Linked DNA regions of Oryzias latipes. The protein of the gene in region 1 interacts with the protein of each later gene in a pairwise test. Links are inferred from orthologs where the notes say so. Each region holds a gene or a part of one and is shown in the gene's direction. Other genes may lie near its edges.

Region 1 (3,640 bases):
TATCCAGAATCGATGGGACAGTGGAATGTTGTCCCTGCTTGAAGGTCACCCAGAGGTCATTTGGCTCCCAAAACAGCCACACGGATATCACCTTCTACAGACTCAGCATGCCTATCGAGTGTGCTGAGTGGAGATCTGGAGCCAGTGGCAACCTCTTCTCATCCAAGAAGGTAACCCAGAGTCTAACCATCAAAGGTTCTCCCCCCCCTCCCTGAAGAGGGGAGTTGTTACCAACCTATGAGGATCTGGAGATGTCATGGGGTGGTAACAACTCATAGCCAAAGCAGTTATCACAGCCAAGCTTTCAAAGTAATATTGAGTCAAAAGGAAGGAGCTGTTGAAGGACATTATGAATTCTGAGATCATTATCAGTCATTAATTACCTTTGACAGATTGTGGCTTCTTGCTGTAAAAAGTAAGAACTAAAGTTGGAAGAACAAACCCTCCAGTGGGAGATGTAGGCTACCTTTGTTTCTTTTTAGGAGAGGTCTAGGACAGTGAAGAAAGGCTGAATTAGTAGTTGTACACTGATTTAGTGGACATTTGTCTCTCTTCACATCAGAGGGTTTCTGCTCTTTTTGAAGCAAAAGATTGATTCCTCTACAGAAGATAATCTTTGCATATTTCTGTTCCAGGTTTTTTTTTTTTTTGACAGAGTTTGGACAGTTTCAGTTAACAGCAACTGAGTAGCATCGGCTTCTCCAGTGTCTGATCTCCAATGTTCTCTTGTTTCCCGAGCCAAATGATGCTCATGATGCAGCTCCTTGTGTTCTTCTGCAGGAGCTGGATGATTTTGAAACCGTCTCAGACTTTGAAGTCCTGATAAAGTCGTCCCATGGCCACAGTGTTTCCAACATTCCTAGTGTTCCTGGTGGACCAGAGAAAGATGAATTTAACAACCACAAAGATTACAACCAAGAGAAGTCGTCCAAGGTCAAACAGAGGTAATGTGCAATTTATCTAATTATGTCAAACAATGCAGTTTCACTATAATGCAAAAGATTTTGGAGATCAGACTGATCGCTGGCTGAAACCAAAAAGAAAAAATCTCCAGCTTAATGTTTATGTTTACTGTGCCTGCATTGTTGCTATATTAACACTTATTAACACACTGGCTCACCCATTAAAGTCCTGCTCCAATCATCTGTTGATCTATTGTAAAAGAATTCCCAGTGGTCTGTTCATTATGATTGTGTCGTTTTTAGCCAAGATGTAAAAAACTCTGTTGTTTTCTTGGACATGGTTCATTATTTTTGCTGGCATCACATGTAAGTTGTCCACTGTGATCCACTTGGTGGTTTTTATGTTAAAGTAAAATAAACCTAACCATAAATCCAAATGGTATTATCCTATTTCGATTCAATTATTGATTTATTTTTCTCCTTGATGCATTTCTTCATTCATTTGTGAACCTTTTGAAGACAAGAAACTGTTTTGGGAATGAAGCAGCACTGCTTAAACAGATAAAGATAAGACATAAAAATTGTTTTTCAGACTTTTGGAAAAAATATTCAGACTTACAATTCACAACTTTAGACAAAAGTCTCCCCAAACTTGTGTCAGGTTATAGTGGTGTCAAGATATTGTGTTTTGAGATCTTTACACAAAAAACACCATCTGGAGAGTGAAAGACTACATTTTACTTTGGTTGTTGTCAGGTTCCTTCTAAAGAGGAACAAGACAGACAGCAGCAGCCATCAATCAGCTCATCTGTCTGAGGAGGCGGGGTCTGATGACAGGGAGGGCTATGAGCTTCTCCTGCATACGTCTGTGGTAGGAAGTGGCTTTTAAATAAAAATCGAAAGTGTTTTTGCAGCCCTAAGGCTATAACCACATGTCTCTGTCTGCAGTACTACTATTCGGTGCGGATCTTTCCGGGTCAGGAGCCCAGCAGCGTGTGGGTAGGATGGGTGACCTCTGATTTTCATCAGTACGATCCTGGTTTTGAGCTCCACAAGGTCCGAACTGTCACAGTTACCCTTGGAGACGAGAAGGGAAAAGTTCATGAAAGGTGAGTAGAATGAGAAAGCTAGGAGATTGTCCTGAAACTGAGCGGAGTAATGCCACCTCTTCAACCTCCTCCACCCACCCACCCACCCTGTTCTGCAGTATAAAGCGCAGCAACTGCTTCATGGTGTGGGCTGGAGAGAGCAGCAGCACTGGTGGTCAAGGGAGGAACAATACCGGCTTAGAGATCGGATGTCTGGTGGACACTACAACTGGTCTGCTAAGCTTTACAGCCAACGGGAAGGAGCTCAGCACCTACTTCCAGGTAAGCCATCCTGACCAGGTAAGCCCTGTTAGGGCAATGATGTCAATGATGACCCTACCAGGGGCTTTTGCCATTCCAGGGCCATGGCAGACAGATCTTGGGTGAAAAGCCAGACAAAGAGTGGTTCAGAACCCCTTTATGAGAAGAAAAAGTAAAGATTCCCTAACATCGCCCAACCCCATACCTGGCTTCAGAGAAGGACCGTGGTGACACCAATCTGGTGATCTGGGCTTTTCCCATGGGTCCTGGATTGGTCCAACTCAGAGAAATGACGTTATATAATGAGTTATATCCCTAGAGGAGACACGCCCGCTTGGGAAGCCTGGCCGACGGTGGCGGAGCGCGACGCCATCTTGGTGAGGTCGTCGGCGCCCACATGATAATGCTTTCTATGGCCTTTAGTGGCATCTAAGTAACTTTTATATAATTTATATATATTAATATTTATGTACATTTATACATATATATAAATATATAATATATATGTATATAGTTTATATAGACACATACATCCTTTGTTGTGTAAATAAGAGAAACAGTCAGCTTTAAAAGCTCAAACTTTAATGAAAAATGCATAGTTGCAGGACTAACAAATAAAAATATTTATTACTAAGAATTTTTTAAAATAATTTTTAAACATGTAGAAGTTTTAGACCTCTTTGACATGTAATTTCAATTATTTAGAAAAGCCCAACAATAAGTCAATAATAAGTCAATAATAATAATTAATTAATAATAATAATAATAATACATCAATAGTAAGTCAATAATAATAATAAATGATAACAATGAATCAATAATTAAATAAAAATAAATAATAATAATAATAAATCAATAAGTCAACAAGAAGTCCAAAAGTCAAAAACAGATTTACCCTAAAAAAGAAAAAAAACAAAAACCAAGAAAAACAATAGATTTACTGATTCATGTGAGTGATCAATTTGGTATAACACAGATGGTATGGTGCCGGGTTTCAACAGTTTGGCCAGTCTTATCAAAATGTGGTTCCACAAAATTTCTTGAACATAGCCAGACTGTATTACTAGTTGGTAACCAAAGTGATCCATCTGGGTTAGCTCTTGTGACAGCTAAGGCTTTTTCCTTAAGTCTGAATCCATTGGAAACCTGCAAGAAAAGTTCAGTCACTGAGTCAGAAATGTATAAATCGATATTACTATAATAGCCTAGTCCTAGTATACTGTATACAGGTTTAACAAAATAAAGTTTACATTCATGTCGACAGCAAATTATACGTACATCATGCAGCATGTTGATAAATGGCCCTGCAGCATCATGCATGTCAACATGTGTACTATTAATGAAGCCCCTGCAGCATTAAAAGAAAAAAATATATTGTACTTACCTGTG
Region 2 (4,260 bases), on another chromosome or scaffold:
TCCCATCCAAAGTGGGTTCGCACACGAGCGGCTATGCAGATTAAGAACAGTAAAAGCCTCTCCTGCGTCTCCTTCCAAGTACCTGCTTTAATCCCCCCCCCCGCCTGAGCTGAGGCTGTGGTGACGAACACCTATAGCTGCTTATGCCGGATGACCTTAACAAAACACAATTAGGAACTGATGGCATTACCTTTTTGTTGAGTGGGTCAAGGCGGCATTTACCACTTTTAGCCATCAAGACTTTAGGTCGTCCCTCAGCAAAACAAAAGTGCCACACTTGAAGTTTATTTGACTAAGTACACGTGAGTATAATCATAGCAAGTGTACTATCTGTGTACACGTAGTGTAATAAGTATATCACATGTACATAGTCTATATGCAATGTTTAAGTAAAATTCAAGTGTTTATACCCAAGAATACCAATGAAGTAAAATTCAAGTGTACTACGTTTAGCCAGGTCATCCCTTAAAAGTAGTACACTTGAAGTTCATTTAGTAAGTATACTTGAGTATCATAGAGGTATAGCAAGTATTCTGTTGACTACATACGTGTAGTGTTGGAAGTATACTATACTACACGTTCTATCAAGTATTATTAAAATATAAAAATTAAAAGGTGAACTTTAAGTTTACTACTTTTAGCTATTGTGACATAAGGTCTTCAGTCTAAATTGAAATATTTTAAGTTTACAATGTAGTATATAAAATTAAACTTCAAGTGTACTGCCTCACTTAGTATTGCCTGAGTATACTTTTAGTACTTATGAATGAACTTTTGCTAAGGGGTCACCCTAACCAAATATATTTTCTTTACTTCTAAGCTACAAAAAAATAAAATAAAATAAAATAAAAATAAAAAAAGGGAGGTACTTCAAATTAGGGAAATACAAAGGAAATGTATTAAAAAAACAGTTTATACTACAGTAAATACTACTATATTAAGTTTTTGTTAAATAAATTTTATGAACAGAAGACATTAGGCTAGCTAACACAAGCTACTAACGGGGGGAAGAAACATTAAAAAGATAGAATTTCCGCGATTTCTTACCTTAAAATATCATCTCAGCTGCACCAACAAACCCGGAATATAACTAAAAAGTTTAATTCCCATCATCTTCTCTGAGTTTCCCTCATAAAAATGTGTCGTTCTTATGGGAATGACCCGGTAACAAAACTCACATGTTGTTTTGGTGCATCATGGGATATGTAGTTGAAAGTACGCCTTATTTTCTCTCTCTCTCCCTTATAAAAATATAAAAATTTAAAAAAGCATAAAAGGGGGTAACTGTGTAGCTGTAGGTTTCCAATACAAATATAATAGTAATAATAAAAAACTTTAAAAAAAAATTGACTGTATTTTACGGATGTCTAAAATCACGGTGAAGCAGTTGTAGTCAATTCATAATCTCGCGATAAAAATAACTCGGCTGCCTGAAGCTGCGGCTCGGTGGTCTGTGAATGCATGGTTTCCATCCATAAATCCCGACTTGAAGCGGGTAACTGTCTATAGAAGGAGTCTTTCAACCTGTTTTGCTATTACATTTTTTTTTTTGTACTTTTGAAATTATGGGCGTGGTCGTGGAAACAATATCCCCCGGCGATGGTGAGTGAATGTGCCCGCTTGGTTGTGGTTTGATGCGGGGTGGAAGCGCTGCGGAGGGCGGTGTTGGGGCTCAGCGGTTCCTCAGGAATGTGATTCAGAGTTCACAAGAGGATTTCAGAGTAAAAATACTGCAGATAAATCTTTATTTACAGCCATTTTTGGGTAAATATCGCAACTCCCATAATGCTCAGCGAGAGAATTTGATTAAACTTTATTCAAAAAGCTTCTTTTTTCCAACATTTCTGCACACATGTTCACTTTCAACATTAAAATGTATAGACCTTTTGTTATCTGTTAAAACAGCAGTTTATTTAGTTGAAAACACAAAACATGTTCCAATCTGAGAATATAAAAAAACCTATTGTTTTATTTTGACTAAAGGCTTAAAAACAGGATTTGTGCTTTGAAATTCAGAAACATTCAAACAATAACTTTTGTTATTTTTTTTCTTTTAACAGGACGAACATTTCCAAAGAAAGGCCAAACATGCGTGGTTCATTACATAGGTAACTGCTTGCTCCTTTTCTCTCTCTTCATCTTCTAGCCATCCTGAATTCAGACATCCTTCCTGTCTCCACGCTGGAGGAGGGAAATCTGATTTCATTTTGCCCTCCTTAGAATAATATCTGCAGCACAACCTCGCTGTAGTCTGCTCTCACAATGAGTCCAGACTTTTCCAGCAGCATGGGTCTATTTAGACATATTTAAATGTAACGCCTGTTGGAAACACCTGCATTGGAAATTGCAACTGGATGCGTGTCAAATACTCCTGTGGTTTCACGAAATGTTACCATATTTACATAAAAAGATGTTGAGAATTTTTATTAGCAATACAATAGTTAAAAAAATGGTTTCATTTGCACCTTAAGGGCATCTAATCCGACATAGATAGTCTGTCCCCTATAGGGTTAGGCAGCGCAGGCAACTAGGTCAGACTGAAAGTAAACAAAACCCAGTTTGCAGGACATGTGTCAACCATCTGATCATTTAGGTAAGACTTTCTGTTTTGGGGATGCAAATGCTTTCTGCATGTCTGGTATGTTTAGGAGCTGATTTGGATCGGTAAAACTTTTTTCTTATGGCTTGAAAATCAGCTGATGTGACCACAGAAATGAGCTGGGATTGAGCGGCTGCAGTAAGAAACTGTTATAACATCTCAGATTATGTCAGCATTTAATCCGTTTGTCTCTCTGGGCCTTGTTTTTAGGATTCACATGATCTTCATCATTTGTTTTTTTTGTTCTAGACTGGGAGTTGAGAGTAGTAATCGACTAGAGTGAACATCAGGTCAGAAAAGGTCTCAGCGGTTATAGGACTGAAAGGATTAAGCCTTTCTGTTTCACTTTTTTTTTGGTGCATTTTTTTATTTGATTCTAAGGGAAAACATAAAATAAAAGTTTTTTTTGGTCGTATTTTTAGGGGTCTGTTTTAAGCGGTCTCTTGTTTTATTTTTTTAGGGGTAATAATAGCAAAATTCAGAATTAGGCTGAAGAAATTGTTAAAATATATTCTGTAAAAATAATTGGAAAGTAAAGGGTTAGCTAAAGAATTCAATGATCTCTTGTTTGAAATCGGATGTGGAAAAACCGTTGTTTCAGTTGTGTAGCTCTTTTTGTTTGTTGTCGTATTGGGATGGATGGAACGGGGGCATCCGCCTTTTTGGTCCATTGTTGGGGAATTTCAATTAAAAACAAGCAACCAAGCACACAAAAATGGATCAGTTTTTATATAACACAGAAAACTCATAGAATTTAAAATTTGCATGACGACATTTTTGTTCAAAACAAGCATATTCGTATAAATTAGGAATGGAAACAAGCATGTATTCTGATTTATATCCACATTTTCTGCAAAAAGTTTTTAAATCAGTAGCTAGAAAAAACCAATTTATAGAAGCATCAAACTGCAGGGAATGCTGGGAAATGAGCGGGCCTCCATTAGCTTGCTTCAGTTAAACTGAAATCCTGTAGGATTTGAATGTCTTTAATCCTAATCTCTTGGATTTGATAGATTCCCCCCATAGTTTGGGGTTGCTGCAGGACTTGTGCGCAGCTCCTGGGCTCGTCGTCTGCATGCGTTGGCTGAGTGGCAGCTCTGACAGCTGCACTTCTGCCGTCTCAAGCTGCTCGCCGCGGACCGGCGCTCCGAAGTTCAACAGGAAACATGCTGAAGTTGAGGCCTCTAGATGTGTGACCCAGAAATAGAAGCACCGAATGTCAGGACTTGACGGGTTTCTTTTCCTGTCGCTGGTGTTCGCTGCATGGTTCTGCTTCAGGATTAGAGTTAAACTGATGCAAAACCCCAAACCGGGATTAGGGCTCCTCAACAGGCTCTTTGGGGGTTTCTCCATGCAGCCTGGCAGATAAGATACAAAATCAAATTTTTTATTACACAATTATTAGATGAGCCTCAGATTATTTTAGTTTTTCTGGATTATTGACAGACTAGGATTATTTTTGTGGTTTCCCAAACACTTCTTCTCCCACTTAGCCTTAAATCCAGACTGATTAGGACCTGCTTTCTGCAGCTGTGAGACGCAGCATCACACACAAGCCTGGCAGAAAGATGACTTTCCCTAGATCCCATTTCCTTCACGCTCATGCCTGGGGGGGAATCTGCTGGCAGACGAGGAGCAGAAGGGAATACAGTAGACAAGGA

The links.
Region 2: the proteins of ryanodine receptor 2 (region 1) and fkbp1b interact in binary tests that used the Homo sapiens proteins (3 or more experiments, as listed by UniProt). The link is inferred for Oryzias latipes from reciprocal best matches to the Homo sapiens genes RYR2 and FKBP1B.

Annotation. Positions count from the first base shown.
Region 1 is NC_019877.2:17,236,786-17,240,425, reverse strand, and holds part of ryanodine receptor 2, read left to right. Parts: coding exon 1-170; intron 171-780; coding exon 781-944; intron 945-1,658; coding exon 1,659-1,773; intron 1,774-1,850; coding exon 1,851-2,011; intron 2,012-2,109; coding exon 2,110-2,272; intron 2,273-3,640. UniProt on the Homo sapiens protein: Cytosolic calcium-activated calcium channel that mediates the release of Ca(2+) from the sarcoplasmic reticulum into the cytosol and thereby plays a key role in triggering cardiac muscle contraction. Aberrant channel activation can lead to cardiac arrhythmia.
Region 2 is NC_019882.2:3,010,013-3,014,272, forward strand, and holds the start of fkbp1b (peptidyl-prolyl cis-trans isomerase FKBP1B), read left to right. Parts: upstream 1-1,418; 5' UTR 1,419-1,565; coding exon 1,566-1,602; intron 1,603-2,060; coding exon 2,061-2,108; intron 2,109-4,260. UniProt on the Homo sapiens protein: Has the potential to contribute to the immunosuppressive and toxic effects of FK506 and rapamycin. PPIases accelerate the folding of proteins. It catalyzes the cis-trans isomerization of proline imidic peptide bonds in oligopeptides.